2 linked regions of the Diceros bicornis minor genome follow. The protein of the gene in region 1 interacts with the protein of each later gene in a pairwise test. Links are inferred from orthologs where the notes say so. Each region holds a gene or a part of one and is shown on either strand. Other genes may lie near its edges.

What was found.
Region 2: the proteins of TRIB3 (region 1) and ATF5 interact in a two-hybrid assay, tested with the Homo sapiens proteins (2 studies listed by BioGRID and IntAct). The link is inferred for Diceros bicornis minor from reciprocal best matches to the Homo sapiens genes TRIB3 and ATF5.

The regions. Positions count from the first base shown.
Region 1 is NC_080758.1:28,573,693-28,590,084, forward strand, and holds the start of TRIB3 (tribbles homolog 3), read left to right. Parts: upstream 1-8,148; 5' UTR 8,149-8,324; intron 8,325-11,758; coding exon 11,759-12,049; intron 12,050-13,938; coding exon 13,939-14,231; intron 14,232-16,392. UniProt on the Homo sapiens protein: Inactive protein kinase which acts as a regulator of the integrated stress response (ISR), a process for adaptation to various stress. Inhibits the transcriptional activity of DDIT3/CHOP and is involved in DDIT3/CHOP-dependent cell death during ER stress.
Region 2 is NC_080773.1:25,272,514-25,288,942, forward strand, and holds the start of ATF5 (cyclic AMP-dependent transcription factor ATF-5), read left to right. Parts: upstream 1-13,429; 5' UTR 13,430-13,658; exon of another isoform or gene 13,659-13,808; intron 13,809-14,971; 5' UTR 14,972-15,090; coding exon 15,091-15,268; intron 15,269-16,219; coding exon 16,220-16,429.

The sequences.
Region 1 (16,392 bases):
TTGCTTCTCCCTACCCTTCCTGCTGGAGTGGTCCAGCACTTGGTCCTTGGTGCTCTCATCCAGTCTCATGCCCATGACTCTAGATCTATATCTTCAGCCCAGACCTCGCCCCTGAACTCCAGCGCATACATCCACTGCCTACCCGACGTCTCCTCTAGGAGGTCTGAAAGACATCTCAGACTCAACACAGCCAAAGCTGAACCTTGGGGCTGCCTCCAGACACCTTGCCCATCTCATCTGATGGCAGCTCCATACTTGGAGTTGTTCAGGCCAAGAAACCTTGGCAGCATCTTTGACACCTCCCTTTCCCTCACAGTCCACATCTGAACCATTAGCAATCCTGTTGGTTCTACCTTTAACATACCCAGAATCCAATCACATCTCACCACCTGCACTGCTGCTGCCCTGCTCTGAGCCACCGGCGTTTCTCAGCAGAATTATTGCGACATCTGCTCCCTTCTCCCCAGAGTCCTTTCAAAGGCCTACAAAGCTCGAGATGGTCTGCCCCCATCACCTCTCTGACCTCATCTATTACCGCCTCCCTCTCGCTTGCTCCACTCCAGCCACGCTGACCTCCTTCATCAGCACACCCGTCAAGTGTCCCCTCAGCCTTGCATAAGCCATTCCCCCTGCCTGAACAATTTGCCCTCCAGAGAGTCTCATGGCATCCGCCGGACCACCCTACCCACCACCTGCCTCCATGCCCCCTCCTGATCCTCTTCACCCACTCTTCTATGTTTCTACTCTTTTCCTCTAATACTCTCTAACATGACCTATAATTTAAGTATTTATTATGTTAATTACTTCTTGCATATTTTCTTTCTGCTGGGATGTAAGCACTGTTTTTTGTCTGTTATTTTCATGGCAGTATCTCCAGCCATTAGAATAGTGCTTGGCAATTAGGAAGTACTCCATAAGTATTTGTTGAATGAGCGTATATATGGTTCGATGCTGGAAAGATGTATAGGTGGGTGGGTGGGTGGATGGATGGATGGATGGATGGGTGGATAACGGTTGAGTGGAGGGTAGATGGAAGAATGGAGAGATGGTAGGAGAAAGTTGAATGCATCGGTGGTGGGGAATGGATTACAGGTGAATGGTAAATGGATGGATGAGGCACGAATAAATAGGTGGAAAGATTTAATCCATTCATCTACTATTTACTGAACACTTACTGTGTGCCAGGCACTGTACCAGGACCTGGAGATACACTGGGAGCCAAACTGGCAGCTGCCTGCCCTGAAGGAGCTTACAGTTTAGTGGGGGAGACAGACACTAAATAAATGAAAAAACAAATACATATATAATTCCAAATTATAATACGTGCTATGAAGGAAAAGAACAGGATGCTCTGAGAGAGAATAATATAGATGAGTGATGGAAAAATGGGCAATAAATGGGCAGATGGAGGTGGATAGGACTCGGACGGGGCTGCTTTACCTTAACGGTCCCGGCCGGCCACATGTACCATCCATTTTTAGACCTGGAGCCTCCCACCCCCACCCCCTCAGCTCTGACCTCAGAGACACTGTCCTCTCTCTCCCTGCGCTGACTCAGCACCTGCCCCCGCCCAACCTCAATGACCCTGCTGACTCTACCTCCAGCCCCCACCCTGCTGAGTCACAGTCTCATGCTAGTCAGGGGACAGCTCCATGGGGGCCCCCAGCTCAACCCAGCCCCTGGGCCATCCTCAGCCTGGGTGGGTAAGAGGCCCAGGAGGGAGGCCAGCAGATGCCAAGCTCCTGATGCTTGTGCCTGACACAGCTCTCTTGATTCTTAAGAGTGTCTCAAGACACTCAGGCCTGGGGCTAGAGCTGGGTGTATCTGGGGACTGGGGTCAGGGGTAACAGATTAGAGCTAAGTCTGTCTGCGGGACTATAACTCAGTCAGGAGCCAGAATTGGAATTCAGGCCAGGGGTCAGGATGGGAAAAGGTGGGTGCCCAGTCAGGAACCGAGTCAGCACTCAGTTTGGTGCCAGGGTCAGGGTTTAGCCCTGGCTAGGGGCAGTGATCAGGGCTCAGGCTATGGCCAAGGTTTCAGGTTAGAGTTCAGTCAGAGTCCAAAGTCAGGGACTAGGGCTCAGTCTATGACCAGAGTCAAGGGTCAGGGCTCAGTCAGTGTCCAGGGAGGGACTGAGTGGGGGAGTTCGCTCTGGACTCCTTGAGGAGCACCTTCCAGCCTAAAGTGCCATCATCCAAACACTCCCCTCCATGCTCTCGCCCTCCCCAGGTCACTCCCGAGGGCCAGGCCTGGTTGAGTGTCCCCCACAAGGCCTAACAGTCCTTACTCTAGCACCCCAGGGGCTCCGGCTGGGATGGGGGTAGGGGCTATGGGGCAGGACTCCACGCCTGACCCAGGAGGGCGCCTTGCGCAAGGCTTTTCTGATGCAACCGGCTGCTGGCTGAACACCTCGAAGTGCCCCCCCCACCCCCCATCTCACAAGCTTTTCTCAGAAAGGGAAGGGCTGGACAGTGGCCTGGATGGAACACAGCATCCCTTTCCTTCCCTGGTGCTGATGGCTTCAGAACCGCAGGGGGCGGGCAGGAAGGAAGGCAGGCAGGGCAGGGATCAGACGACTCAGCAACTCAGTGGCAGCTCCAGTACTGGGAGGGGTGGATCTGGGCTCCCTCCTCCCCTCAGCTGGAAGGTAGGGGACAGAGCAGGATCCCTGGAAGTTCAGAGAGCCCCATCCTTACACACATGAAGCAGTAATTTTGTGGCTGAGCCGGGAGAGGGACTGGGGCTGCCCAAGGTCAAAGGCAAGGTCAGAACCAGAAACCTGCCTTCCTCCTGCGGTATCCAGCTCCTCCCACCGCAGGTTGGGGAGAGGACCCCTCACCCTTGAGGGGGGCACAGGACTTCCCCAGAGCTTTCAGCCAATCTCCTTGAGGCTCCTGAAATAGCGGAAGGACACGGGCTTTGGAACTACACAGACCTGGGTTCAAACCCCTGGACTTGCTGTGTGATCCTGGGCAGGTTACTTCTCCTCTCTGACACCTGGTTTTCTCACTTGTAGAAAGGGCATAAGTTCATCCTTAGCTCACAGGGCTGTGGTCAGGATTACAGGAGAAAGCAGACGGAGGACACAGCCCAGGCCTGCCACACGGGGGATGCTCAGGAGGTGTGTCCCCACCTCTCCCTCCACCCTCAGCTCTCAAGTGGTGTGTGTTGGGGTGCAGGGGAGGCAGCAGCCTGGGCTCCGTAGACATAATATTGCCGCTTATCATCAAGTGCTTACTGTGTGCCACGAACTCTTCTAAGCACCTTACCTGTATTAACTCATTTAACCCTCCATTTAATCCAATAACAGTTCCCGGTAACAAGAAGCAGTTCAATAACCCTATCAGGAGGATGCTACTATCAATTCCATTTCATAGATGAGGCTCTGGGTCTCAGAGCAGCTAAGTGACTTGCCCAGTGTCATATAACTAGTACTGGCCAAAGAGGTTATGTAAGGCTGTGGACAAAGACCACCTGGGCTTTAAGCCAGATAGACAGGCTCCTAATCACACTACCCTCCTCATCCTTAGGCCAGTGATGTCACCTCTCTGAGCCCAGTTTCCTCATCTGTCTCCAGGGATGAAAACAGCAACTCCCTGGGAGGTTTGAGGATGCAGTGAGGTGATGTAAGGAAGCACCCACACAGGGCCATGCTCCATCCTCAAGCACAGGAATCACATTCTTCCTAAAGAAAACCCAGGCCCACAGGGCAGACCTGGGTCACCTGGCAGGGCCGTGGCTGCCACTGGGCCACCTCTGGGAAGATGCTGTGCCCACGCACAGGGCTTCCTGCCTTTCCTGAGGCCCAGCCTCAGCCACATTCGGATGATGAGGGATTTCTGCAAAGCCCCTGGGAAACCCCAGAGAAGGGGGGGTGTCTGGTCTCCTAATGAGGGCTCCCCAAGAGGAGCACAGGCCTAGAGCTGCAACTCTTGAATCACTCACTGCTTTTCCCAAATTGATTGGCTCAAATCCATTTACGCATCTGTATTATTAGTTTCCTGATGTTTTTCTTTCAATCAGCTTATTTTTTAAAACTTAGGTAAATTCATTTAAAAGGGAACATTTAAGTCACTGACCTCAAATGGAAAGCCACTATCATTTCCGGTAAGGAGAAAGTCACCATCAAATTAAATACAAGGAAAGCAAAATAAGATTCTTCAAGCCTAGCAAAATCCTGTTTCTTGCTGAAGGCTCTGGACTGAGCCCTGCTCTCTCTTCCTTACCAAGCGAGTTGTTAAAGACAGAGAGGCTGTAAAATGAGACTTTTCCCCCCAGTAACTGGAGGAACAGGAAGAAAATCAAAAGGAAATGCATGTACCACCAAATGATTCAATGATTCAGAGTCTTGAGACCCCACCATTGCTATACATGTCATATTTTAGAAAACACCGACCTAATCCAACTCTTTCTTCCTATTTTACAGACAAGAAACTAAGGCCCCAAGAGGGAAGATGACTTGCCCACCATCTCACGGGGTCAATGGCTTCAGCCAGACCTGAATCCAACCAAAATTCTTTCCAAAGCATCTTTTCGCTTTCGTGGGCACAACTTACCAAGCGGAAGGTTTTGGGGCCGGCCTGGTGGCACAGCTGTGAGGTGCGCACGCGGGGCTGTGACCGCCCAGGGTACGCCAGTCCGCATCCCCCGTGCGCAGGGATGCCCTGCTTGTCAAGCCATGTTGTGGGGGAGTCCCATATAAAGTAGAGGAAATTGGGCACGGATGTTAGCCCAGGGCCAATCTTCCTCAACAAAAGGAGGAGGACTGGCGACAGACATAGAAAAAAAAAGCTGAAACGTTTTAAGAACACCAGCGGTGGCATTTCAGGCTTGAGGCAGGCACCAGCGACGGGGTGTGGAGGAGGGAGGCGGGCGCGGCTCCTATCATCGCGGTCCACGGACTCCCACCCCCACCTTGGAGCGCAGCCTCCCCGCCCCGCGCCGAGTTCCTCCTCCCAGCGCTGGGGGTCAGCGGAACTACAGCGAATAGAAATGCAGCCCGCGTGGCTCAGGCATCTGGGTGGAGGGACGTTCTGAGCCCGCAGAGAAGGGAATTGACGAAAGCCCAACTCTCCATCCAGGAAAGTGCACATTTTTGCATTTAATTTTGGGGCGTTGATCACCATTTATTTTCTCTTCTTTTAACAAATGCTTATATAGCATTTATATGCCAGGCACTTCACAGATATTAAGTCATTTAATCCTCATAACAAACCGATGAAGTAGGCACTATTATTTTCCCCGTTTCACAGATGAGAAAACTGCCTCAGTGCATTTAATCCTTAGGACTACAATGCAAAGAAGGTATAATCAATCCATTTCATAGATGCAGAAACTGAGGCTCCAGGCTCTGTGGCATCTATACTGCAGACCCCACGCTCTTCACTTCTTTGCTATACTCCCTGGAATTCTTGGTCTAGGGGTGTGCTACTCAATACCATAGCCATTTGCTACACGTGGCTCCTGAGCGTTTAAAATGTGGCTGGTGTGACTGAGGAACCAAATTTTTCATCTTACTGAATTTTAATTTTAAAACAGGTAGCATATTTTTTCCTTTAAACCCAATTTAATTGTTTTGGGAGGACAACATTTCACTTTCACCACTGACAATTTAGCTTCCATGCTGATTTGTGTCCAAACCAAGTATGAAATACACACCAGATTTTGAAGACATTGGTATGAAAAAAATTTTAGATTATCTCATTAATAATTTTTATTATCTTATCTGTTGAAATGATAATATGCTATGTTATTGGATTAAATAGAATATTTAATATTTATTAATATTAATTCCACCTGCTTCTTTTTATTCTCCTGCAATACCTGACTAGAAAAATGAAAACATACTTGGCTCATGTTATGTTCTATTGGAAAGTGCTGGTCTAGAGAATTGGGATTTGACACCCCCAACTGTGACAAGGCCCTCAAACCTGGAGTCCAGGCCCAGGGTGCGGTTCCAGTGACCATCCACAAGTCCGGGTGGAGGCTGCCTTCGGGTTGCAAAGATTGTGATCTGTCCCTGGACAGTGTGGGCACTGGAGTTAGCTGCCCCAGGTTCAAATCTCAAATCTGCTTCATACAACGAGCTCGGTGGTCTTGGTAAGTCCCTCACCTGGACTCATCTATAGAACGGAGGTGACAGTGCCCATCTCACAGTTCCTTAAGTACCTCAGGGCCTTTGCACTTACTTTTTCTCTGTCTCCCCTCACATCTTTGCACTCCTCACCCCTTCGCTTCCTTAAGATCTTAGTTTAAACATCACCTTCCTGATGACTCCTACTGAAAATAGCCACCGCTCAGTCATATCTGATGGAGAACAAATCTATCCTGTTCATTCAAGAAAATACATAACATTTATAACCTATTTTAAATGATCTCGGCTATTAATTTTATTTTCTTGATAATGGTCTGTCTCCCCACTGATTTATAAGATCCCTGAGGGCAGGAATAGGTCAGACTTGTCACGGCTGAGTCCCCAGCATTTAGAACAGGGTCTGACACAGCATGAAACAAAGTTAGGAATGTGGGAGCAAACCCAGACAGTGCTGGCTCCATCGAGGTGCTCAGAAGATAAGAATGCCTGCCTTCTTTTGCCCCGGACGGCTGCGGGACCTCCTGGTGTAGAAAATGAGTCCACCCATCCCTCCCGGCAGGGGAGTCTCCAGGGTTAAGTGAGGTGCCACAACCCCCTGCTGTGCTCGGAGGGTTCTGAGACACAGGGGAGCTGGTCCCTGGAGTGCTGGAATCAGGGAAACAGAACTCCACCCACCTCCCATCCAACTTCTGCCCCAAGGAGTTATTTTTTGACACTGGTGAATTCAGATATCAAGACCTAAAAGGGATTTCCAAGAAAGGTGCTGGCCCCTTGGGGCTGCACAGGGATGTTCCATCAAACAGCAAGGGCCACCAAGGCCTCCCAGGTCTGGAGTGTGAGCCCTGTAACGGGCACCTTCCCCTCTCTGAGCCCCCGTTGTCCCCACTCTATTTATTGAGCACCTACAACATGCCACACATTCTAAGTATTTTACACGTATTAATTTATTTAATCCAAGCAACAACCCCGTGAAGTGAGTACTATTATAAGCCCGTTTTACGGAGGAGGAAACTGAAGCAGGGTTTTCAGTATCTTTCCTGAGGTAGCACAGTGGGTCTGGGCAGTGGTGGGGTGCACTCTTAGGCAAGCTGGATCTAGGGTGTTTGCTCTTAACCACTAGGCTGCACTGCCTCTGTCAAATGAATGCTGTGAAGCCCACCCAACCTCAGGCCTCTCCAGGGCACCCCACTGGTTCTTTTGAGCCTGGAGGCGGCTCCTAAATCTGTGGTCTTTGCAAAACTCCAGGGCTGCTTTCCCAGAGCGGAGCTTCACGCTCCCCCTGAGTAGAATAGGGAGATGGAGCTTCCTGCCCCCCTGGGGTTCTCCTAAAGGTTTAATAAAGCAATGGTGGCAAAGTGCTTTATATATATATATATTTGTGTGTGTGTGTCTGTGTGTGAGGAAGATCAGCCCTGAGCTAACATCCAATGCCAATCCTCCTGTTTTTTGTTGAGGAAGACTGGCTCTGAGCTAACATCTGTGCCCATCTTTCTCTACTTTATGTGAGACACTGTCCCAGCATGGCTTGACAAGCAGTGCGCCTGTGCACGCCCGGTTCCGAACCTGAGAAGCCAGTGCCGCTGAATCGGAGCGCGTGCACTTACCCGCTGTGCCACCGGGCAGGACCCCAAAGCGCTTTATAAACGGGGAAGCACCCAGGAAACTGTCACGGTTTGCTCTTTCTCCTTGGAACCATCCTGAGAGGGAAGGATGTTCTTGCTTGCCATTTCACAGATGGGGAAACTGAGGCTCAGAAAAGCAAAATGCTTTTCCCAAGGTGATAGGGAGAGTCGGAGGCAGGTGTCCTCGCTCAAACTTCGGGCACGGGGCAGGAGGGGAGGGAGTGGAGACCAGACACCCCTAGAGGGCGGGAGAGGCGAGGGGTGCCGGGGCGGAGCGAAAGGGAGGGGCCGGGGCGGGGCGCGCTCGGCGGTGACCCCGAGGGGCGGGGCGCGGCGGATGGTGCAATCCCCGGCCTGAGGGCATCCGGAGGCGGCTGATTAGCTCAGGTTTACATCACCCGGGCCGGAGCAGGAGCCCGGCGCCTGGCGTCCCCGAGACACTCGCAGCGGAAGCGCCGGCGGCGCCGCACGCGTCCGGCTGCTGGGGCCGGGACAGCGCTCCGTCGGGATCCCGAGCTCGGCACACCGGACCGACCCCGGGCCACCCGGGGGCCCCGGCGACTCTGAGCTTGAGCGGCGGCAGGACCCCCGCGCACGCGGGAGCAAGGTACCCGGTGGGGACAGGAGAGAGGACGGAGATGGGCGGAGGGGGACCGGGAGCCTCTGGGCGGCTGCGGGTTGCTGCGTGTTACACACACGCGCGTGCACACACAACTTTTAACAAACCCCGCAGTCCAGGGCGCGACCTGGGCTGAGTGTTGCCGTCGCGTCTCAGGTGACACGGCCCGGCAGGGCGTGGGGTCGCCCGAGTGTGGCCGACTCGGGCTGGGCCGAGGGTGCGCTCCCGTGGGGAGTGGCAGCTGTGTCCCGGGGGCAGAGGGGGCCGGGGACTGAGGTGTCCGGGTGTCGCCCCGAGAGGGGTGTGCGGTTGTCTGTGTTTTGTGTGAGTGTGAGGCGGGGGAGTTGTGTCGTTTGGTGCGGGAGGTCTGGGGGCGCCTGTGTGGGGCATTGGGGGACTGCGTGTAGGGTCTGTGTCACTGTGGGGGCGTGCCTGTGGGGATCTGCGGGTGTCCACGTGACCCTGTGGGGTCTGGGCGGGGATGGTCTCGGGGGTCTGTGTCCTCGTGGACTGTGCGAGCTGTGGGGAGGGTTGGGCACCTGGTGGCAGGTGTTGGCTGTGCGGGGACACCGCCGGGAAGAGCTGGGGTGCCGGAGGGGGCGGGGCGGGGAGGGAGGTGGGGGGGTGCACGGCGAGTGGGAGCGAGGATGCAGCGCGGGATGCGGGGCCCGAGGGCGGTGCGGCTTCGGGTTTGCACGTTGTATTGTGCGCGCGTGTATTTGTTCCTGCCAATGGTGTGCATTGTACCTGCAGACTCGGGCGTGTGGGGGCGAGGGCCCAGGTCCGCCCCTTCTCCCAGCCTGGGGCCCAGCCTCCTTCCCTTTGCCTCACTGCCCCCACCCCTCTCGGTTTCCGCCGAACCTTCTGCCCGGGACACCCGCGGCCGCCGCTTCAGCTCCCACCGGAGGGGCCTGGCTGCGGAAGGCGCCGGGAGGGTGCTAACTGCCTTCCGCGGGGTTGGGGGGGCGTGTCAGACTGTGCGTATGGCCTCGTTGGTATCAATCCTGCAGTCCTGAGTGTGATAGTGGGGAGAGCTGTGTGTGTGTGCCTGTGCACTTGCCCTGGAGGGCGAGGTGTGTGTCACGTAATGATATGTCCCTCTCTGCCCTGGATGTGCGGCGCGGGCTGGCTGGCTTGGACAAAGTGTCTTTTTGAGGGGCGTGAGTACACCTGTCTGCCCTGGGTTGTGTGTGTGTTTGGTATGGCTCACTCTCATTCCCCGGAGGTGTCAGGGAACAGCAAGAGGTAGATATTGGGGGCTGCCTCCATCCTACAGCAGAGATTCTAGTCCTGCAGTGTGGCCTTGCTCATCTACAGCCTCAGTTACCTCACCTGTCCAGTGAGCTTATCTCAGACCCAGCAGCCTCTGGGCATGGATGGGACCAAGCAGCCTGAGTGCTGGTGTGGCCCCCAGAGGGCCCCTCCAGGGAGTCTCGTGCTGCCAGGGCACAAAGCATCCACACAGCCAGGTGTCATCCTGTGTGACTCTCAGAACAGCCCTGGAGGTAAAGAGTGTCATCCTAGCCTCACCCCAGGGAGATTCCTGAGCCTTTCAGGGGTAGCACTTTAGCATCTTCAGCTACGAATAATAATAATAATAGTAACGGACCAACAGTAGTGACCATTTTCTGACACCTACCCTACAAAAGGCCACTCTAGTTTATTTGTGTTTTCATTTCATCATCAGAAAAATCCTATGGGCTTTGCATCCTGTTCCCACTTTACAGATGAGGGAACTGAGGCTCAGGGAGGTTGAAGAGCTTGCCCAGGACTACCCAGCCAGGAAGGATCTGAGCCAGGATTAGAACCCAGGAATATCTGACTGCAGCCACCCCTGATTGCATTCTTACCAAGATGGGATTATGGCCTTTCACTCGGGGTGGGGGTGGGGGTGGGGGTGGGGATTCCCTCCCTTCCTCCCAGGCCAGCCCAGACATTTGGGAGCAGCGTGATTGGAGAGGTGGGCCTCAGTGTGAGAACTGACTGAGTCATGTTTCCCTGTTAATCCTGCCTGGGACTGTTGGGAAGGTCTCACCTGGGCTGAAGTCCATCTCCCTCTGACTCCTCTTCCCTGGGCTCCGTGTCCCTCATTTGGAGCCTGAATGGGTGGGCAGATGGGTCCTGGAGAGAACTTTTCCGCCCAGACATGCCATTGCCCTCTCCTCCACCCACCACACACGGTGACACAGCTGCACGGGGGGTGGCTTCCCCCACAGCTGAATGAATGAATTTGGGGGCCTTTGACAGACCCTCCCCTCCCCGCCTCACCTCTCACATGAGGGGGAAGCTGAGCTGGCTGGGGGACTGACTTCGCCTGTGGTCCCTGTGATTCCGGGAGCTCTTGAGCCGTCAGGCAATAGTAGATAAAATTCACATTTGAAAAAAAAGAAATACACTCTGATCTGAAATACTCAAGCAGTAAGTGAACGCAGGATCTTTACCTTACAATACTGAAATTGAAAATTCCCTTGCCCCCCTACCAAATCCCTTCCTCCCCTGGGGGCCTCCAGTTTAGTCTGGGTCCTTCCAGACCTTTCCCTGTGCATTCACACACCGACATACACGCAAACATGGAGCTACATCATTTTATATGCTGGGGGGTCTTTGCATAAATGAGGTCACCTTGGGTGTGCTGTTCAGCAGCCTGCTTTCCCCTGGACAGTATGTCCGTTCCAGAGCGCACATGCACATGCGCATTCAGGCCCACCGCATTCATGCAGCACCCTCATCATCTTACTCCCTCCTTCCCTCCCTCCCCGTCACGGCTCATAGCCTCCTGCGCTATGACACTCAACAGATACAATGCAAAGTCTTTCTTCCTCCCTGTCACAACCACTAAGTCTCTCTCTCCGCTTTACCTTTTTTTCTGTTTTCACTTAACAGTTCACTTTGGAGATCTTTCCAATCAGCACATAAAGAGTTTCCTCAATCTTTTGAATGGCTACAATTGTTCCCTGTATGGATGAAATACAATTTATTTAACCAGCCCCCTAAGGATGGACGTTAAATTGTTTCTATCACATGGGCTGCAGGAATAACCTTGTACTTGCATCGTTACATCAGTGTATAGAGAGCTTCCCAGTCCTTTTTCAGAGCTGTATAGTATTCCACGGTATGGCTGTACCATGGTATTTAACCAGCCTCCCACTGCTGGACACTTGGGAGTGTTTCCTGCCTTTTGCTATTAGACACAAGGCTCTGATGAGCAGCCTTTCACATATTTAATTTTTTGGTGAGCATTTTAGTTGGAAGATAAATTCCCAGAAGTGGGACACCCAATTAGGGCTATGTGCACTTGTCAGTCTAATACACACTACAAATCATCCTCTGTAATTGGCTGGGCCAATGTACCCTCCCACCAGCAGGGGAAGAGAGGGCCGCCAAACAGCCTCACTTGAGTGCCTTCCTCTCCTTCTTTCTAGATGCGAGCCACCCCTCTGGCTGCTCCTGCAGCTGCCCCCTCCAGGAAGAAGCGGTTGGAGTTGGACGACAACCTAGACACTGAGGCTCCCACCCGGAAACAAGCTCGAAGTGGGCCCCCGCCCAGGCTGCCCCCCTGCCCACTGCCCCTGAGCCCACCCCCTGCTCCACTCCGTGCCCCTGCTGTGACCACCGCCTCCCGGCTTGGGCCCTATGTCCTCCTGGAGCCTGAGGAGGGCGGCCAGGCCTACCGGGCCCTGCACCGCCCCACAGGAGCCGAGTACACCTGCAAGGTACCTGCCCTGGGGGCCACTCTCCACCAGCGTCACAGGGGGCCTGAGAAGGGTCTTGGTTGCAGAGGATTGCCAGGGACTGGGGGGTCTTTATATTAATTTATTCCTGTGTTTACTGGGGAAGCAGCCCGTGAGCCCCCAGCTCTCTGTCAAGCTCCAGGCTGGGGCTGGGCTGAGACAGGGGTAAACCAGACAGTCCCAGCCCTGGGGGAATTCACAGTGTAGGCCCCATAGTGTGATAAACGGGGTGGTGCTGAGGGGCCCTGAGAGCACAGGGGAGAAGCCTCTACTGTAGTTCAGGGGGGAGCCAGAAAAGGCTGAGCAGGAGTTAGCCAGGGAGAAGTGGGAGAAGGCAGGTCCAGGCCGGGGAAACAGCTATGCAGAGGCCCAGCGGAGTGACAGCTGGGTCCCCTTGGGAGTGCACAGAGAGGCAGAAGGACTTAAGCCTCCACCTGGGAGCAGCAGCAGCTGTCTCCAGCTCCTGCTGGGTGGGGGTGGGGAGGCAGAGGGACAGATCTGGGCACATCGTCCAGCCACCAGCTTCACCTGGGCTCCCTGCGTGCTTGACCCCAGGTGCTCTAAGGGACCTCTGAACTCTGGGTCCCCTTCCTGCAGCATCGCAGATTCTTTTCTGTTCCCACTGGGGAGGGAGGTCCACGCTGAGAGGAATGACCCAAGCCAGCTCGGACAAGAAGCGTCACGCTTTCACATGGCCCCCATTATTCAGCAACATTTAGGGGAGTCTGCTGGGGTGCGCTGGTCCCCACACCAGCGTGAACCGCAGGGGCTGACCCGCCATCTCCACATCGCCTAGGGTTTTCTGGTCAGAGCGTAGAAGGAGCAACATCGTGTCTTTGTAGATTATCGCCTTATTCATTAATTCCACACACCTTCAGTGAGCACCTGTATGCGCCATGCAGCACGCTGTCGTTCAAAAACAGACAAAATTCTGCTCTCATCAAGCTGACATTCTAGCGGGGGACACGGACAATAAACAAGTGAATAAGTAAAATATAAGTCAGGTGATCGTAAGTGCTGCGGAGGAAAAGCTAGGAGCTGGGAGAGAGGGGAAGTGGGGTAGTGGGGGCAGGTGATCTTAGCTGGGGACAGCCGGGACGACCTCTCTGAGGAGGTGACATTGTAGCAGTGACCTGCATGAATTGAGGGAGCCAGCCCTGTGCGTGTCCAGGCAGCAGGAACAGCCAGTGCAAATGCACAGAGGCAGTAATGCGCTTGCCCTAACTTTAAAAAAAGTCTCTGTTTTTGGATTATTTCCTCCATGCCACCACAACTGTTTTTTTTTTTTTAGACATATGCTTACACTTTTTTTCCCATGGATTACATATGTCTATGCTTTATTTATTTTTATTTTCTGTGCGGCATAGACAAAATAACATGCAAAAGGTTTAAAGTCAGATGAGCCAAAGCGAGCACACCAGCTTTGCCGCCATATGGCTTGCAACAACTCACCTTCCTCCTCTGAGCATCCTCTCAGGGCTATGGTGAGGTTTCTGTCTAATGTCCCTAAAGACCCTAGCACATTTCTCCAGGACCCCACCCTCACCATGGCCCCTCTGCCCTCCCCCACCCTATTCCAGCCGTACTGGTATTTGGCTGGGTTTCTAGTGCAGCTCAAGCTCTTTCTTGCCGCAGGGCCTTTGCACTGCCTGTGCCCCCCAACTGGAAAGCTTATCCCATGGGCATCTCTGAATCATTCAGGTCACTTCCCCAGAGTCCCTTCTGGACCACACTTTCTAAAATGGGTGCCCCCTTCCAGAATATTCTCTATTTCATCATCCTTCTAAAGAGTTGGTTGTGACTCTTTCCAAGGCCAGCCGGGGGTGGCTCCACGGGTCCCCACCTCTGCTCACGCCATGCTCCGCCCCCAGGTGTACCCGGTCTGCGACGCCCTGACGGTGCTGGAGCCCTACTCGCAGCTGCCCCCCCACGCGCACGTGGCCCGGCCCGCCGAGGTCCTGGCGGGCACGCGCCACCTCTACGCCTTTTTCCCGCGGCCGCACGGGGACATGCACAGCCTGGTGCGCCGCCGCCGCCGCCTCCCGGAGCCCGAGGCCGCCGCGCTCTTCCGCCAGATGGCGGCCGCCCTGGCGCACTGTCACCAGCACGGGCTAGTCGTGCGAGACCTCAAGCTGCGTCGCTTCGTCTTCACCGACTGTGAGAGGTGAGTGTGGCCGCAGAGACCTCACCCCCAGACACACCCCAGAGTGGGCCCTAGTGGGAAACTGAGGTTCAGGAAGGCGAAGGAACTTACCCCAAAGGTGGAGAAGCCTGGGCTAGCACCGCCGCCTAGTTCGCCGGAAAAGTCACTCCGCCCTATCGGAGCGCCCTGCGATGGAGCGTAGCCTGGGTGATAATCGTAACGGCTGACGGTGGTGAAGAGCAGAGCTGCCCTGTCTGCGGTGGCCGGCATCCTTGCAAATCTGCGGGAGGCACTGTTATTATTGTCCCCACGCGGCAGGTGAGGAAACTGAGGCCCAGAGAGGCCAAGTAGCGCCCAAGACCCCGCGGCTACATGAATAGTAGAGCTGGGATTTCCACCCAGACGGGACTGCAGAGCCGGAGCCTAATTCACTCTGAGCTTGAGAGGCTGGAGGCTGGCTGGGCTTGGCCACTGACTCTGGGTGACCCGGTGTCTCTGGACCTCAGTTTCCCCGTTGGTGGGGGAGAGGGCTGGCTTGTCAAGATGTTTCCAGGCTTCAGGGCCACAGACAGCAGCCAAAACAGGCCCTGAGGTTCCCCACATGGGAACTTTTCCTGTGAAACTGAGAATCAGTGATTTTTGGAAGGGGAACAGACAGGGACCCGGCATCCTGCCCCTCCCTAGACCCCTCGTGTGACCAGGATGTGTCAGGGAACACACCAAGCCACCAGGTCCACATGAACACCCATCAGGAGCATCGATTCCATGTCAAGACTTTTTTAGGGTGGGAGGAAGGTGACCCCATGGCACTTTTTAAAACTTTTTATATTGAAATACTTTTAGACTTTGAGGAAAGTGGCAAAAATAGTCCAAAGAACTCACATATGTCTTCCACCCAGTCTCCCCTCATGTTAAGGTCTCACATAACCATGGTACAACTATCTGCACTCAGCGATTAACCTTGGTCTGGTACCGCTAACTAAACCACAGATCGATTCAGCTTTTGCTAGTGTCCCACTAACATCCTTCTTGTGGCCGGGAGCCCATCCAGGAATCCGTCGTCATGTCTCCAGTCCCAGACGGTTCCTCTGTCTTTCCTCGTCTTTCTTGACCTGGACACTTTTGAAGAGTGCCAGTTGGTTAGTTTGCAGAACACCCTCAGTTTGGATTTCACTACGTTTTTCTCACGGTTAGACTGAAGTTATGCGTTTTTGGCAACAAAACCCCAGAAATGAGAGGCCCCTCTGAGTACATGGTATCAGGAGATACCTGATGTTGATCGTATTACTGTGATGTCAACCTCGATCCCGTGGCTCAGGTGGAGTCTGCCAAGTTTCTCCACTGTAAGCTTCCTAATTTACCCTTCGTAATTAATAAATACCTTGGGTAATACCTTGTAATTAATAAGTCCCTTGAGCTACTTTGAAGTTATGCATGTAAATACCCTGGTTGTCCTCAGACCTTCCTGCACTGATTTCAGCAGCCATCCATTTTGCCTGGAGCAGTTATTACTATGACATTTGCCTAAGGGTGATTTTCTATTTCTTTATTTCCTTCTGTATTTTATACTAAAAGGAACACGCCTTTAGTAAGAAGTAGACTGTAAGATGTATAATGATTTTTAAGCTAGTGCACAACTTCCAATAATTTTGAGCTTAGGGTGAGGACAAAACCCCAGACCTCCCAGAGGTGAGAGAATGCTTCCTTCTCTTTTCAAGGCAATAGTTTGAGAAACACTGTGGGTAGAAGAGTGACAGTGGAGTCAGACAGACCTGGGTTCGAATCCTGTCTCTACTTTTTACCTGCTCTTTGCCTTGAACAATGGCTTCACCTGCCTGAGCCTTGATTTCCTCATCTGTAAAATGGACCAAGAATGCTGACACCTCCCCCACCACACACACACACACACCTTTTCTGTAATTCACAGGATTGGTCAGTGTTTGTGAAATGCCGCAGGCACCCAGGAAGTGGTGCCATGGGAATAAGATTGACAGCAGTGGGAATAGAGTGGTTATTATTTAAAGTACCCTAGAGGCCTCCGGGGGAGTTGTTTAAAGCAGAAGTTGCAAATGGCAGGCTACACACACATTTTTATTTTTGCTCCACATACGTGTTCGTTTTTAATTGAAATTGGTTGCCAACATTTCAAAAACTGGGACTTTTTCATTAAAATATGATTTCT
Region 2 (16,429 bases), on another chromosome or scaffold:
CCGGGCTTTGCCGGTTCGGATCCTGGCACGAACCGATACACCGCTTGTTCAGGCCATGCTGTGGCAGCGTCCCATATAAAGTGGAGGAAGATGGGCACGGATGTTAGCCCAGAGCCAGTCTTCCTCAGCAAAAATAGGAGGATTGGCAGATGTTAGCTCAGGGCCAATCTTCCTCACACACACACACACAAAAAGAATGGAATAAACTGACAAGCAACGAGCGGCTTGCTAACCAGACCTTAGCCTAGGCAGTCTCCACCGTTCCAGGCTGAACGGACAGCGGTGCAAAGGCCGAGGCAGGAGCGCGCTCCGCGGGCTCCCGGGCAGGCAGCAGTCAATGTGGCTTGACCAGAGGGCTGTATGAAGCCACGGGAGGGTTCCAGGTGTCAGGATCTGACTTACATTTTGAAAGACTCACCCAGGTTGCCGGGGGTGGGGTGGGGCACCACTCTTGCAGCCCCCTGGTGGGAGCTGGTGGTGGCCTGGGCTACCCTGTCTGGCACTTACACAACCACCCCACCTGGTGGGGACAGCCAACCCCAGTTGCAGGAAACTGAGCCTCAGAGAGAGGCAGCCTCCCACACAGCCCCAGACGGGCGGCGCTGCCTTTCTAAGCCAATCCGCAGCATGGAACCCTCAGTGCTCACCTCCACGTCAAGGCCATCTCTCCTCCACAGTACAGGTGTCCCCAACAGGGTGGTGGGATAGAGACCCCTCCTGGTTTCAACTGCCCTCTCTCACCTCCTTAGGCCACCTGGGATTCTGGTCCTAATTTCCTCCGTCCTGCTCCTTCTCCCGGAGGACAGGCACACTCGAGGCCATTCACCCTCCCAGGTGTAACCAACCTGAAGAGACAGACGAATAGAGGGCATGTCTGTCTGCCTGCTCACCACGGGGAAGGGCTATGGAAAGCCTCCACTGCCTGTCATGCTTCCAGGCTGAGTCATGTGAAGGGATCCCTAAATGTCACTGCATACTAACCGCCAAGAAGGCATTGTCACACGTGTTCCATTTCTCAACCTATCCAATGACATATTGGTGGTTTTTTTTTTTGGTAAGGAAGATTGGCCCTGAGCTAACATCTGTTAGCTCCTCCATTTTGTATGTGGGAAGCTGCCACAGCATGGCTTGATGAGTGGTGTAGGTCCACACCTGAGATCTGAACCCGTGAACCCCGGGCCGCTGAAGCAGAGCATGCAAACTTAACCACTATGCCACCGGGCCAGCCCCTTAGTGGGTATTTTTTTAAAAATGAAAATGAAAATTATTTTTGTGAATAGGTAGCTGTTCACGTGCCTCTATGTTCAAAAGGTACAAAAGGGAACACCATGGTCTCCATCCTCCCCCGTCCCCCAGCCAGCAGCTCTCTTCCCTGGAAACAAGCTGTTAGGTTTCGTGTGCCTCTTTCCAGAGATTTGTGGTGCATTTAAGCAAATGCACAGTTTGCCCTCTCGCCCTTTGTGCACACGCGGTCATGCCAGACACGCTGTTCTGCACTGTGTCTTCTCACTGGATCTCAGAGTCATTTTCAGCAGGCTCACTGCCCTCGTTGGACAGAGGAAGGAGGCCGTCAGAGGGGAGCCACGTGGCAGAGGCACCAACATGCTGGCTCCTCACAGTTGCCTTGAGCTGCTACCTAAATGCTTCTTGGATTCACAGCTTCTCAGCCATCTCTCTCCTTCCTTTCTTCTCTTGAAACACTCTGCCCCAAAAAGTCACTTCACGACTAATTGGCAATTACACTCTCCTTCCCGCTCCCGAGGCCCGAACTGTCGCTGAGGGAGCTCAGGTGATGGGACAAACAGCAATTCTCCCCATGGGGAAAACGAATCAGGGAAGACGTTCATGGAAAGAAGTCAGGAAACAACCTGATACACACAGCCAGAAAGGGGCAGAGGTCCTGAAGAGGAGATATTAAGGAAGATTCTAGAACAACCACTCTAAATATAAAATAATGCGACTGGACGAGATCTGAGGAATACTCTGGTGCTGGTCCCTTCTTTTTGCCAAGAATGTTTTGTTTCTTTCTCTTGTATTGATTTTTTTCTCTACCTAACTGCATTTTTAACATTTGAATTTTAACTCCACAATGCATCCATCAGTCCTTTCTTTAAAATAGTTTTGAACACAAAGCTAAGATTCCCTTGATCACTGTCCTCCATCCTGGTCCCCACCCCGGTGAGGGCACCCCAGTTAAGAGCTGCAGTGTTGGGCCGGCCCGCTGGCGTAGTGGTTAAGTTCGCGTGCTCTGCTTCGGCAGCCTGGGGTTTGCAGGTTCGGACCTACTGCACTGCTCATCGAGCCATGCTGCGGCAGCGTCCCACATACAAAAATAGAGGGAGACTGGCAAGAGATGTCAGCTCAGGGCCACTCTTCCTCACCAAACAAAACAAAACAAGGAGCTGAAGTGTATCTTTTATCTATGTATTTGCGTGTGTGCTCATAGCCAGAGGAAATGTGTTTATTATTCCTGTGTTTTCCCTGCTACACAGGGTATCACACTGTTATGTGTCACTCTACAACTTGTCCTTTTCCCAACGTGCTTTTCACTCCTTCTAGCCGCTGCCAATCAGTGCATGGTATGACGACACCACATTTTATTGATCCATGCCTCCACTGGTGGACATTTAGGATGCTTCCAATTTTTCCTCACCATAAACAATACTGCCACAAGCATGCTCCGTCCTGCTTTCTTGGCACAGGCGCAGACATTTTTCCAGGGCAGATCCCTAGAAGTAGAACTGCAGGCCGTGGACTCCTGCATTTCTGTTTTACTAGGGGCTACCAAACGCCCTGCAACCTGCCACACCTGTTTTTACTCTAAGTGGCAGTGCCTGAGACGACCACTGCCCTGCAGCCTGGCAGCACCTAAGAGGAGGAAAGTCCTGCCAATCTGATGTACCAACTGCATTTATTAAAGAATAATGATAAAAGACCTAACCACTCAGCACTCACTCTGCCACCATGTGTTGGGTAACTCACAAATATACCTCATTCATTCAGTCAACAAACATCCACTGAGACTTCAGACAGTACAGGCCTTGTGCTGGGCAAACAAAAACAATCTGGCACGGCCACCAACCTCAAAAACCCGGAGTGTTGTTGAAATGTGATGAAGGAAAAGCCACCAGAATTGAAAACAGGTACTCAAACAAAAACTTGTACACAAATGTTGACAGCAGCATTATTCCCAATGGCCGAAAGGCGCCCTCATGTCCCACCACTCTTTGCCTCCATCATCCCACTCCAGTGCCACCAGCCTCCTCTTGTTCTTCAGAAGTGCCTAAAGCGCTCCTGCCTCAGGGCCTTTGCACTTGCTGTTCCCTGTCCCTGCAAGGCTCTCCCCTGAGATGTCCCTATGGCTCACTCCCTTACCTCCTGCAGGTCTGTGTTAAAATGTCACCTGCTCATGAGGTCTTCCCTGGCTATCCTTAGGACTTAGCACCATCTGAAATATAATATATTGAACTGATGGATCTCGTTTATTATCTGTCTCCCCATTCGAATGTCAGCTCCCTGAGCTGTACAACTGTTTCATGTACTAACCTGTTTAGTTCTCACCCCTCCCACCATGAGGGTACCACTAGTATCTCCCTTTTCGAGTTAAGTAACTTGTCTAATGTCAACATCAACGTCAAAGTCAGGAAGAATAAGACAAGGTCCTGCTCTGAAATAATTCAGAGTTTACTGAGGGTAACAGACAAAGAGAGAAATTATAGGACGACAAGGTGGATGCTGGGAAAGAGCTTTGGTTAGAACCTACTGGAAGCCCAGGGGAAGTGGTGATTAACTCTGCCTGGGAGATGTGGGAGAGGAGGGTCTTGGAAACCTTTCTAAAAGAGGAGGGGATGTTGAAGCTTGTTTCGAGGGATGTGGAGGAGTTACTCAGCGTAGGAAGAGAGTAGATTAACACCTCATCCCAGGCAAAAGCTCTGACAGGCAAGGGCCTGCTGCTTTGGGGAACAATGTTAAACCTGTATTAAAACACAAGATGCCAGGGCCGGCCCGGAGGCGCAGCAGTTAAGTGCGCGCGCTCCACTGCAGCAGCCCAGGGTTCGTGGGTTCGGATCCCGGGCGCGCACTGATGCACTGCTTGGTGAGTCACGCTGTGGCGGTGTCTCATACAAAGTGGAGGAAGATAGGCACGGATGTTAGCCCAGGGCCAGTCTTCCTCAGGAAAAAGAGGAGACTGGGCAGATGTTAGCTCAGGGCTGATCTTCCTCACACGCACAAAAAACACAAGACGCCAAAGAAGATACACAAATGGCGGACAATCACATGAAAAGATGCTCAGCATCATCAGCCACCGGGAAATGCAAATCAAAACCACGAGATACCAGTGCACACCCCCTAGGATGGCAATAATAAAAAAGATGGGCAATATCAAGTGTTGGCAAGGATGTGGAGAAACTGGACCGCTCGTTCATGGCTAGTGGGAATGTAAAATGGTGCAGCCACTTTGGAAACAGTCTGGCAGTTCCTCAAAAGGTTAAAACATAGAGTTACCCTAGAATCCAGCAATTCCACTCCTAGGTATCTCTCAGAAGAAATGAAAACAAATGTCCTCACAAAACTTGTACATCCAGGGGGCTGGCCCTGTGGCTTAGCAGTTAAGAGCATGTGCTCCGCTGCTGGCGGCCCGGGTTCGGATCCAGGCGCACACCGACGCACTGCCTCTCCGGCTATGCTGAGGCCGCGTCCCACATACAGCAACTAGCAGGATGTGCAACTACGACATACAACTATCTACTGGGGCTTTGGGGAGAAAAAGAGAAAAAAAGGAGGAGGATTGGCAATAGATGTTAGCTCAGGGCTGATCTTCCTCACAAAAAAATAAAAAAAGAAACAAAAAACACAAAAGTTGTACATGCATATTTGCCAAAAAGTAGAAGCAACTCAAAAGTCCATCAACTGATGAATGGATAAAATGTAGTACATGCATACAATGGAACAGTATTCAGCCCTAAGGAATGAAGTGTCGACATATGCCACAAAATGGACAAACCCTTAAAACCAGACACAAAGGACCACCTAACGCATGATTCCATTCATACAAAATGTCCGGAACAGGCAAATCTAGAGAGACAGAAAACAGATTAGTGGTTGCCTAGGGCTGGGGGATGGGGGAATGGAGAGTGACTGCTAATGGGTATGGGACTTCTTTTTGGAGTGACGAAAATGTTCTAAAATTAGATTGTGGTGATGAGTGTACAACTCTGTGAATCTAATAAAAACCACAGAATTGTACACTTTAATAAATGGGTGTGAATTACAGCATCTCAATAAAGCCATTCAACAAACCAACCAAGCACGGGATACTGAGAAAAGGTTGAGAGGGTGGGCAGGGGCTGGGCAGAGTGGTTTCTTTTTCTTTCTTTTTTTTTTTTGTGAGGGAGATCAGCCCTGAGCTAACATCCATGCTAATCCTCCTCTTTTTTTTTGCTGAGGAAGACCGGCTCTGAGCTAACATCTATTGCCAATCCTCCTCCTTTATTTTTCCTTCCCCGAAGCCCCAGTAGATAGTTGTATGTCTTGGTTGCACATCCTTCTAGTTGCTGTATGTGGGACGCGGCCTCAGCATGGCCGGAGACGCGGTGCGTTGGTGCGCACCTGGGATCCGAACCCGGGCCGCCAGTATTGGAGCGCGCGCACTTAACCGCTAAGCCACCGGGCCGGCCCTGGGCAGAGTGGTTTCTAAAGACAGGACCAAGCTTTCCTCTGAGGACAAGGAAAACTGGTTGAGAATGGGCTAGGGACGAGACTGGAGTTAAAATGCTCAGTCAGCTGTGAGGCCATCAGGGGGCTTCATGGGAAATGCAGCTAGGCATGGATACAACACTGAGATATCAAGACCTGGAGAGGGGATGAAGTATCACGGCCAAGGGGCTCTAAGAGCAAAGCAGGTAGGGCTGTGCGTGTGTGTGTGCATGCATGTGTGTGTGTGTGCGCGTGGAGAGGGGCTGAAGCACCACGGCCAAGAAGCTCTAAGAGCAAAGCAGGTGTGTGCGTGTGTGTGTGCATGCGTGTGTGTGTGTGTGCGCCTGGAGAGGGGCTGAAGCACCACGGCCAAGAAGCTCTAAGAGCAAAGCAGGTGTGTGCGTGTGTGTGTGCATGCGTGTGTGTGTGTGTGCGCCTGGAGAGGGGCTGAAGCACCACGGCCAAGAAGCTCTAAGAGCAAAGCAGGTGTGTGTGTGTCAGAGCCGCACACACCTGAGCTCCCTCCCCAGCCTCTCTCCCGTAATCAACACCAGCTAATCAACACCAGCGTCCCAGGGGAGAGGCAGTGATGTCAGTGGGGGAAGGAGGGAAGGGTCCAGGCCAGGTTGTTGCAGAGACGGTTGCCATGGAGATGGCTTCTCTGGGGACCAGGTGAAAGCTGCCAGAGGTGGGGGCAGGGTGGCTTTGATTCTGAGAATCAGAACTAACCAGAGCCCCTACCTGTCCCTGGATACCAGTCACTACACTAACGTTTCTAGCACTTATTATGTGCCATGCCCTGTTCCCAGTCCTTACCTGCACGGACTCACAACCCTATGAGGTGGGCACTATCAGCGTTCCCATTTCACAGATGAGCAAACTGAAGTTGAGAAAAATCAAGTAACTTGCCCAAAGTCACACAGGTAGTTAAGACTGACCCAGGCTGTCCGGCCCCAGAGCTGAGCTGGGGCCTCATGAGCCTCTCCAACGTGACATTTTTTCAGCCCTGCCAACATGTACTGTGTCCCCTACCCTCTTCCCATTCTCTAATGACATCCCGGGCCAACTCCATCACCTTCCAGACTAGTTTAGATTTTATTCTTGAATCTAATTCGGTGCTGTCCGCCTCCCCTCAGCTGCAGGCTGGCCTCCTGGCGGCCTGGAGTGAAGAGTGGGTGTCAGCTGCTCTTTCCTGTCTCTCTTCAGGAATCTGTTCCTGCTCTGGGTGGGGGCGGGCAGGAGGGGCAGGAGGAGAGGGCAAGGGGCTCTTGAACCAACTGGGCTCTGGTGACCCTCGATGCTCTCCGTAAGGCGGTCCCAACATGTCTCTGGAGGGGCACCTGGGGGACCTGGGAGGCTTTCCTGCTGTGGCTCCCTGTCTCTGCTTCAATCCTTCTCTCTTGCCCCCTCACCTTCCACTACGACTGGCTGCCCGCTGGGTTCCGAGCTGCTAGTTTCCTCGGTGCTCAAGCGACCCTGTGGGAACTGGGCATCCGTGGCCCACCTCATGGTGGGGCACAGGCTACGCTGAGGCTGCCCCGCCCCGCCCCAGAGCCCTGCCATTGCTCTCCACCTGTCTTCCCTCATCTTGGTACGATGAGCTGTGAGAAAGGAAAGCAGCCCTGACAGCCAGACCCTGGGGCTCTCCTGTTAGACATACCAGTGTCACTGGACACCCATATCAGGCAAGGCCACTCGGACCGTGATGGACTGAGACAAAAATAAGACCACTCCGGAGTCGCATCTCAACACAGACAAAAACACGAACATTGTCCAAAGCACAAAAATGACCAAACATCCTCCTCCCGGCTCAGAGCTGCTGGCTGCTTCTTAACCAGCGCATCAACTCCATTCATTCCTCCCGCCTCTGGATAAGATAAAGACACCCAGTCACAGACTTGCCCCTGCTTCCTGCCAGCATCCGACCCAGAGCAAAGCCCCGCTTCCCTGACCCTTCCCCAAAGTCACCGGACCCTGCCCAGCTCCTATAACAAGTCCTCGCTACCACCCCCCTTACTGAGAGGCCCCTTGGGCCCCCATGGCGGGCGACCTCCCCAGCTGGTGGCCTCTGGCTGGGGGCACGGACAGCTGACAAGGAACAGACAGGGTAATAAGACGCCAGCACCCCTCCAGCAGGCACCCAACCCTCACTGACGATTCTCTAGAGACTTCCTTCCCTGCTCCCCACAAACACTGCCCTCCAGACTGCACATGGCATGAGGCTAAGTCTGAGCGAGACCCTGCTCCTCTTCAGTCTTGGTCAGTACAGCAGGGAGGGGTGTGGCCCGAATTCCCAGTGACTCTAGGATGAGGAGCACTGGGTTCCTTTTGTTCTCTGCTCCGGGCAGAGGGCTACAGATTTGGGGCTGCAGTGGAATCACTGAACACGAAGGTCAGGGAGGGCCCTGACCTAAGCCTATCCACATTCGTGATTTGTTGGGGTTTCTCTGAATTATTCGCTAACCTTTTAAAACCTGAATCTTGCAGAAAAATCTAGATTTCCAACTTCTCCTGTAAAATCAGAAGCTCCGCATCACCAGGCTGCACTGCTGCCAGGCAGATGGGCCGTCCCTGAGCTGCACTTGTGTCTTTCCGGTGGTCCGGGGGCTTTGCAGAGCCACCTCTGAGACAGGGCCTGCGGGGATGGCTCACTTGCTGAGCCAGGCACTGCTCTAGGCCTTTTCACATATATCTCTGTGGTTCTCACCACTGCCCTCTCAGGAGGGTTCTGCTACTGTCCCCACTTTAGTGATGAGGCCACAGAGCAGGAAGTGATGGCATCCCAAGATCCAGGACATTATGTTGTCAATTACCTTCAGTTTGCCCTGTCCTTTTCCTATAGCCAGTCCCTGTGGGCCCGTGAGGGAGGGGGCACCCCAGGGCTAGCCCCAGTCTTTATCTCCCAGATGAGGAAACTGAGGCTCTGAGAGGGGAGGTGTGGTAGGCTGGATAATGGCCCCCCCAAAGATGTCCATGTCCCAGTCCCCAGAACCTGTGAATATGCAACCTCACGTGGCAAAAGGGACTTTGCAGATGTGATTACATTAAGGATCTTGCGATGGAGGCATTATCCTGGATTATCTGGGAAGGCCCTAATGTCATCACAAGGGCCTTTATAAGAGAGAGGGCAAGAAGATCAAAGGAGGAAATAGGAGATGTGATGATGGAAGCAGATGCTGGAGTGATGTGAGGACGGGGCCACAAGCTAAGGAATGCAGGCAGCCTCTAGAAGCCAGAAAAAGCAAGGAAATAGATTCTCCCCTAGAGCCTCCAGAAGGAACCAGCCCTGCAGACCCATTTTAGACTTTCCGGTCTCCAGAAACGAAAGGGAATAAATGTGTGTTGCTTTAAGCCACTCAGTTTGCGGCAATTTGTTACAACAGCTAATACAGAAGATGAGCATCGAGGATGCCCGAGCTGGTGCGGCAGGGTAGGGCCTGACTAGGTTCTAAGAGCTGCAGCTGCTTCTGCCAAGGGAGAAGAGCAGGAGCAAGGGGAGGGGCGGGGGCCTCTGGAGGACTCTGAGCCACCGGGCCACGTGGCAGACCTGTGCTCTGCATGTCCAGCCCCCGCACTGCCCTTTCCCCAGCTGAGCTGGCCTTAGCCTTCCTGCCCTTGTTTGCCAGGACGTGTACCTCCAACCTGTCCCCCTGGCCTGCATGACCCAGATACCTGCCCCTGTGCCTCTTTAGAGACCACAGTATTGAACCCCAGCCTCTGTGCATGAGCAACTCACTTACAAATGAAGTGATGTCTACTGAGACAGCAGCAAAAGACTGGGGGCTGTGGGCAATGATTCTGGGAACGAGGAGGGTCCCGACCTTGCCGTCTAAGTGCTCGCGGAAACAGTCACTTACACAAACATCTGTCTGAAAGCAGAACGAAGTGTAATGGGAACAGGAAGAGAAACAAACACACATAGACCCTGAGCTCCTGGTACACGTTGGGCCTGACCTCCATCATTTCATAGACTCTCCCGGCACCCAACCCTTAGAGAGAACTAATGTTCACAACTGGGCAGGCCCCGTTCTAGGAAGTTTACATGCATTTACCTATTTAATCCTCACCACAACCCTCTGAGGTGGGTCCTCTTAACCCCATTTCATGGATGCGGAAATCGAGTCTGAGAGAGAAGATGCCACTTGCCGAGGGGTCACCGAAGTGGTGGAGTTGGGATGTGAACTCAGCAGGCTGGCTCCAGAGTCCACGCACTGACCCACTTTGCAGAAAGCAGCCGAGGCTTAGGCACAGGAAGGACCTTGTCTGCATCCCCGGCCAGGGCTGAGTGATGCGGGCTCAGGATGAGAACCTGGGTCCATCTGATGCAAACTCGGTGCCTCTTCCATCATGCCAGGCTGTCACCTTGATTGGGAAACCAGTGAGGGGTTGCTGCAATAGTACAGGTGAGGAGGGCCTGCTCTAGGGCAGCGGAGGTCACAATCAATAGAATTTGGCAATTGTGAGCAGCAGACCCGAGGTGAAGGTCTAGGCTGGGTGGCCTCCCAGCAGGCTATGCCCTGGGCCAGGGGTCAGGGACCCCGTCGATCTGAGAGGAGACAGGCTCTCCCTGGGGCTTGTAGGGCCTTGGAAGCTGTGCTCTATAGTCGAGGCCTGGGCTCTCACTAGCAGTGTGATTGTGCTCAATGCCTTCCACCTCTTGAGGCCTCTGTCTTGCCCCCTGCAAGACAAGTGGGTTGGCGCCTATAATCTCAGGCCTCTCCTGGGCATGTGTCTCAGATTCCCAGGGTCCTGCACAGGTGGCTGCTCTCCCTCCCCCTCCTCTGCCCCTCCCTTGCTGTGCTGGGACCTCTCCCAGATCCAGGGCTCTAGTGCTCTGCTAACCAGGAACCATTGCCAGGTGTGCTGGGGCCCCCCAGAGAATCCCCCCACTCCCCCTCCCCAGTAAGGAGCCAGGGTGATGCAACCTGCCTGCAAGGGCCACCTCACTCCCGGAGCCGGGCTCCTACGCACTGAAAAAGAGTCCCCAGCAGCCCCACCCACGCTCCTAGCTCCAGCTCAGGAGCTGAAGGGGCTGGGGCCCCTGGACCCTGGAAGACTTTGTGAAGCAGGAGGCCGAGGCACCCGAGTCCCAGAGGGACTGCGGGTCTGGGTCAGGGGTGGGCACAGGACAGGGCTCAGGGTGCTGAGACCTGGTCTCACAGACAGCCACTGATGACCTACCGCCCATAAATTAGAACATGCTGGGAAGAGCTAGGGAGCTAAGTGTGCGAACTGGCACCCTCTCAGCAGGACTGAGTCAAGTGCTTGAGTGGGGCAGTTGGCACCAGGGCTGAACTAGGTGGGATCCAACACCTATAGAGAGAAAAAGGCACAAGGGACTGGGACAGGGGACCAGGGTCCCTGCCCTAGTGTCTTCTCAGTCAGCATACACCGAACACTCATTTCCAGTTATTAAAAAATATCCTACCTAGCCATCCTCTCAAAAACCCATAACCCCAGTCTATGAGACAAAACCAAATTGGGGGACATTCCACAGAATACCCAACCACCACTCTTCAAAGCCGTCAAGGTCATGAAAGACAAGGGAAATCTGAGAACCTGCCGCAGCCCAGAGAACGCTAAGAAGACAGATGACTAAATGTAATATGGCATCGTGGACAGACGCCGGAATAAAAAGAGGGCATTAGGGCGCAACTAGTGAAACCAGAACAGAGTGTGGAGTTTAGTTAATAGAAATGTATGATGTTTGTTCCTTAGTTGTGACAAATGAACCAAGTAATCTAAGGTGTCAACAACGGGGGAACTGCGTGAGGGGTATATGGCAACTCCACTATCTTTGCAACTTTTCTGTAAATCTAAAATTACTCCAAAATAAAAAGTTGATTTAAAGAAAAATACTTTACCTAGTCCACGTGTATAACCTAGGTCTTTCCAGAAGGAGAAGACTCTGGGTGATGACTGGGCCTCCTCACTGCCAGCAGTCTGTCCAAGAGCCTACCCTACTCTCACCTGCTGTTACTCAACATCTATACTGAGAAGCAGAAAGTCGGCCCCTAAGTCTCACTTAAAAGGTGGAAGACTTTTTAAAGAACTTACTGCTTAGCAAAGGAGATAAAACACACACCTCACTAATAATAATAATAATAATACCCCCTTAGGTAGCACCTACTGTGTGCCAGGCACTAGTCTAAACGCTTGACCTCGGTTAACTTATTTAATCCTCGTTAACAGTACTAAGAAATAGGTACAATATAATAATGGCCACGTACATTGGTACGTTTCTATTAACCAAACTCCACACTCCATTCTGGTATTATTAATGGAAACTGAGGCACAGGGAAATAAAGGACATTGCCAGTGAGCTACTAAGTGCGGTGCAGTCAGGGATGGAACGCAATAACCTGGTTCCAGAGTGTGCTCTTAACTGCTCCTCTATACCGACTAGGTATAACGCAGCCCCTATAGCGCCAGTGCTCAAATACCAGCAGAGTGGACAATAAGTGTCTAAGGGAAAGTGGTCAGATCCCAAGAAGGACTTGCTGCATGCAACAAAAGCCTGCGTATGTTCATTCCCAGATAACTCTCAAGATCGGGGTTCCCCCACCTTCTCTGGATCTTGATTCAGTTTCATAACCAACACAAAAGTGATGAAGGCTGAACTCCAGGTGTCACATCCTGATGTGGACAGAGGCAGGGTGGGAAAGGGAGGGGTTTCTGCAGCAGAGGAAAGACCCGCATCCACTTGGGCTGGTGGAGGGCCCAGCCACAGGGAGGGGATGGCGAGGAAGCTCTCCTCTTTTAGCAAATGCAAGTGTAGGTCTCCCCATTTTTGGCAGGGCTGGAACACGGATCCAGTGGGGCGCAGCAGAGGCGGGGGACTCTTTGAAAGGAAGTCAGGGTGAGGGGCAGGGGCAGAAGAATGAACCAAGTGTCTCGAAAGAAGTGCTGAGGATAAGCGCTGAGGGGAGGTGGGCACGGGATGGAGAAAACAGCGAGGGCGACGATGCCTGAATTCCCTGCACCGAGAGGGGGCTGACCGCCCATCATCTGGCGTGGAGGAGGGTGGGGACGGCTGGACACTGAGGAGTAAAGGCGACACTGCTAAAGAATGACCTATTAGCAGGTGTCGGATGGTCAGGAGTCTGGGGCTCTTGGCAGGAGGAGAGCAAGGCGTCAGACCGAGCCCCAGAATTCGTATTAATAATAAAACACACCGAACAGGCCTGCAGGGAGCCGGGCCCTGGGTCCCACGGCTCTCCGCTTATTTCATTCGCACAAACAACCCCACCTCATTTTGCGAACGGTTCCCCATCTATGAGGCCAGAGAACTTAAGTTATATGCCCAAGGCCACCCTGGCCGGTCTATGACTCACGCCAGCCTCGAACCACAAAAAGGGTTGGGGGACGGCAGTTGGGGGATAAGGAGACGAGCATGCGGCTGGCCGGAAATTCGTGAACCGGGGCAGGGAAACAAGAAATGAACCGACGCGGGTCTCGGGGAAGAGGAGGGGCCGAATTCCCGGAATCGCAGGGAGGAGGGGGCTGGACCCCCACGTCGGGGGGAAGGGAAGGCCGGAACTCCCGGGGTCGGGAGGAAGAGGGGGCTGGATCCCCGGATCAGAGGAAGCAGAAGGGCCGGATCCCGGGGTCGGAAGGAAGAGAGGGCCGGATCCCGGGATCCCGAGGGGAGGCCAGGCCCGCCCCCCGGTTGGGGCCGCGCGGGGGCGGGGCGCGGAGGGATCCGAGCGGGCCGTGCTGCGCCGCCCCCGGTATATCTGTTCCCAGTCCCCGGCGCCGCCTCAGTCCCCGTCCTCAGATCACGATCTCTCCTCACGCTACCCCGACGCCGCCTCCGCCCGCGTAGCCCCGGCCATGGCTCTGTAGCCGCCACCCCTCCGTGCCTCACGGCCCATCTCCGCGCTCACCGCGCTTGCGCTCTCCGCTCCCGCCTTCTTTCTTCAGCCGAGGCCGCCGTCGCCTCTCCTTTCTGCAGCCATGGAGTGAGTAACGCTCGCCCCTCCCTCTCCAACCGCCTTTCCCGCCCTTTGGAAGCTCGCGGCCCTCACAACGCGACCTGGGGGATGGCGAGACGAGAGCGAGGAATCACGGTCGCGCAGGCGCAGAAGAGGGAAAACGGGCCGTCGACGCGAGGCGGAGCATGCGCACTCGGCTCGAGGGGGGGAGGGTGCGTTCTTCCAGCGAGTGTTGGAGTTTAAAGACGGCCCGCGTGAGGTTGCGCCTGCGCACTACCCCCCAGGACGATTCCGCCCTCTCGCGGTTGCTCATGCGCAGCAGCCCACCAGAGTCCGTATTTGCGTCCGAAGGGCGGGCAGTAAGCAGCCGCACATGCGCAGTGACCCCCAGGAGGACGAAGCATGTGCTTTGGCCCTGGGTTAGAGAGCCGGGAGTGGAAGGGTGGTGGCGAGGAGAGCTGTTCCTCCCCGGCCTCCCGGCTCCCACGACCTGCGTCCCGGCTTCACATTGCTCAGGCGCACTGCATAGCTTCTCTTTCATCGGGCACCTGTTGGGGCGAGGGCTGGTGTAGATTGACAGGGTAGAAGGCGGGACTTAGAGGCAACCTGTTAAAAAGGGGGTGGAGCTAGGATCACAGCCATCGGGAGGAGTGGGGCTTGAGGGAACCCATTGTGAGAGGGGCGGGGCTCAGCGAACCGTTTGCTGAGGGGCGGGGTTTCGATCCGAGAAAGAGGTGGGGCCTCGGGGGAATCATCGGGGAGGGGTGGGGCTAAGATAAACAGTGAGGGGCGGGACTTAGAGGGTCGGGGGAGGTCACCGCAAAGTTAAAAGGGCAGAGTGGGATTTGAGTGGATCACATGGATGAAGGGGCGGGGCAGGGGGAAATTCCCCTGGGAGCTGATTTGAGATGGACTCGAGGGAGGCGATGGGGCCTAAAGGAAATATTTTAGAGGGGGTGGTGCGGCTGGAAGAAAATTCCCCTGGGATTGAGTTTTTTTACGAAGGGGAATATTATGAGGTGGGTGGGAGGAGTTAAGGAAATTCCCCGGGGAGACCTGTAGGTTTCTGTATTGGAAGGATCCGGGCTTGGGGATTCTAAAGAAAAGTAAGTCGATCCTAAAGCGAATTCCCTTGGGAGTGGGTGGGCCTCAGAGATTTGGGGAAAGAAAGAGCAGATTTAGAATTCTGAGAGCTAGGCTCGTCCCAAGCCCAGTTGGAAGCAGGAGTGGGGGAGGGGGGAGGACCCCAGGGAGGTGGGGGTGTGGCTTGGTTTCCCTGTGACTTCCGTAGTGGGTGAGGCTGGCTTCTGACCCCAGTCGCTTTTGCCTCCCACATGTAGGTCCTCCACTTCCGCCTTGGTGCCTGTCTTCGCCCAGCTGAGCAACCTCCAGAGCCCCCTGTCAGCTGCCGGTGCAGCCTCCTTCGTTGCCATCCGCGCCCAGCGCCTGTGCTGCAGCCATGTCACTCCTGGCGACCCTGGGGCTGGAGCTGGACAGGGCCCTGCTCCCAGCTAGCGGGCTGGGCTGGCTCGTAGACTATGGGAAACTCCCCCTGGCCCCTGCCCCCCTGGGCCCCTATGAGGTCCTTGGGGGAGCCCTGGAGGGCGGGCTTCCAGGGGGGGGAGAGCCCCTGGCAGGTAAGGGCAGGCAAAGAATGGAGGTGGGGTGAATTGGGGTATGGGGGGCAGGGGGAAGGAGGAAGAATTCCTTCATTCATTTATTCATTCAATCCATCAATATTTATTGAGCACCTATAACATGTCAGGTGCTGGGGATACAGATGGGAACAAGACTGACACGATCACTGTCCTCCTGGAGTTCACACTCTAGTGAGGAGACAGACGAGACATATTCAATGATAATGTGGCATAAGTGGGAAACAGTCATTTAGCTGAAAAATGACAACGGGGACCTAGTTTATAGTGTGTAGCCAGGAAACCCTCTCCAAGTAGGTAGCGTTTTGGCTGAGGCCTAAAGCATGGGAGGGAATGAGCCATGAAAAGATCCAAGGGAATAGCTTTTCAGGAGGAGGGAACAGCATATGCAGAGGCCCTGAGGAAGGAATTATTTTATTCATTAATGTGTCCGACATGCTTGGTACATAGTGGGTTTTCAATACTTAATGAGTTAAAGAGGAAACGGGGTGTGTTGTGTATGTGCAATCTAGTTTGCCTTTTAAGAATAAACTAGAGAGTAAATCAGACAAACCACAGGTGTAGAGTAATCAGTAAAGAGGATGTTGGAATGGTTGAAGTAATGGCTAATTGTTTTGTTGTTTGGGTCATTGGGTGGTTGACTGGTTCACTGATTGATTGGTTAAAAGGTTGATTGGTTGGTTGACTGATTCATTTAGTTGGTTGGTTGGTTGGTTGATTGGTTGACTCGGTTAATTGGTTAGTTAGATGTTTGACTGGTTTATTGGTTGGTTGGTTGGCTGGTTTGATGATTCATTGATTGGTTGGTTGACTGATTGGCTAGTTGGTGGGTTTACTCAGTGAATGGAATGAATGAGGCTGACATGAGTGAGCACCCGGTTGGGTGGAGGACCAGGAACTCAAGGACCTTTATGTCCCCCTGCACTCCTCCAGGTGACGGCTTCTCTGACTGGATGACTGAGCGGGTTGACTTTACAGCCCTTCTCCCTCTGGAGCCCCCCTTGCCCCCAGGTGCCCTCCCCCCACCTTCCCCACCCCCACCTGACCTGGAAGCCATGGCCTCCCTCCTCAAGAAGGAGCTGGAGCAGATGGAAGACTTCTTCCTTGATGCCCCACTCCTCCCGCCATCCTCCCCACCACCAC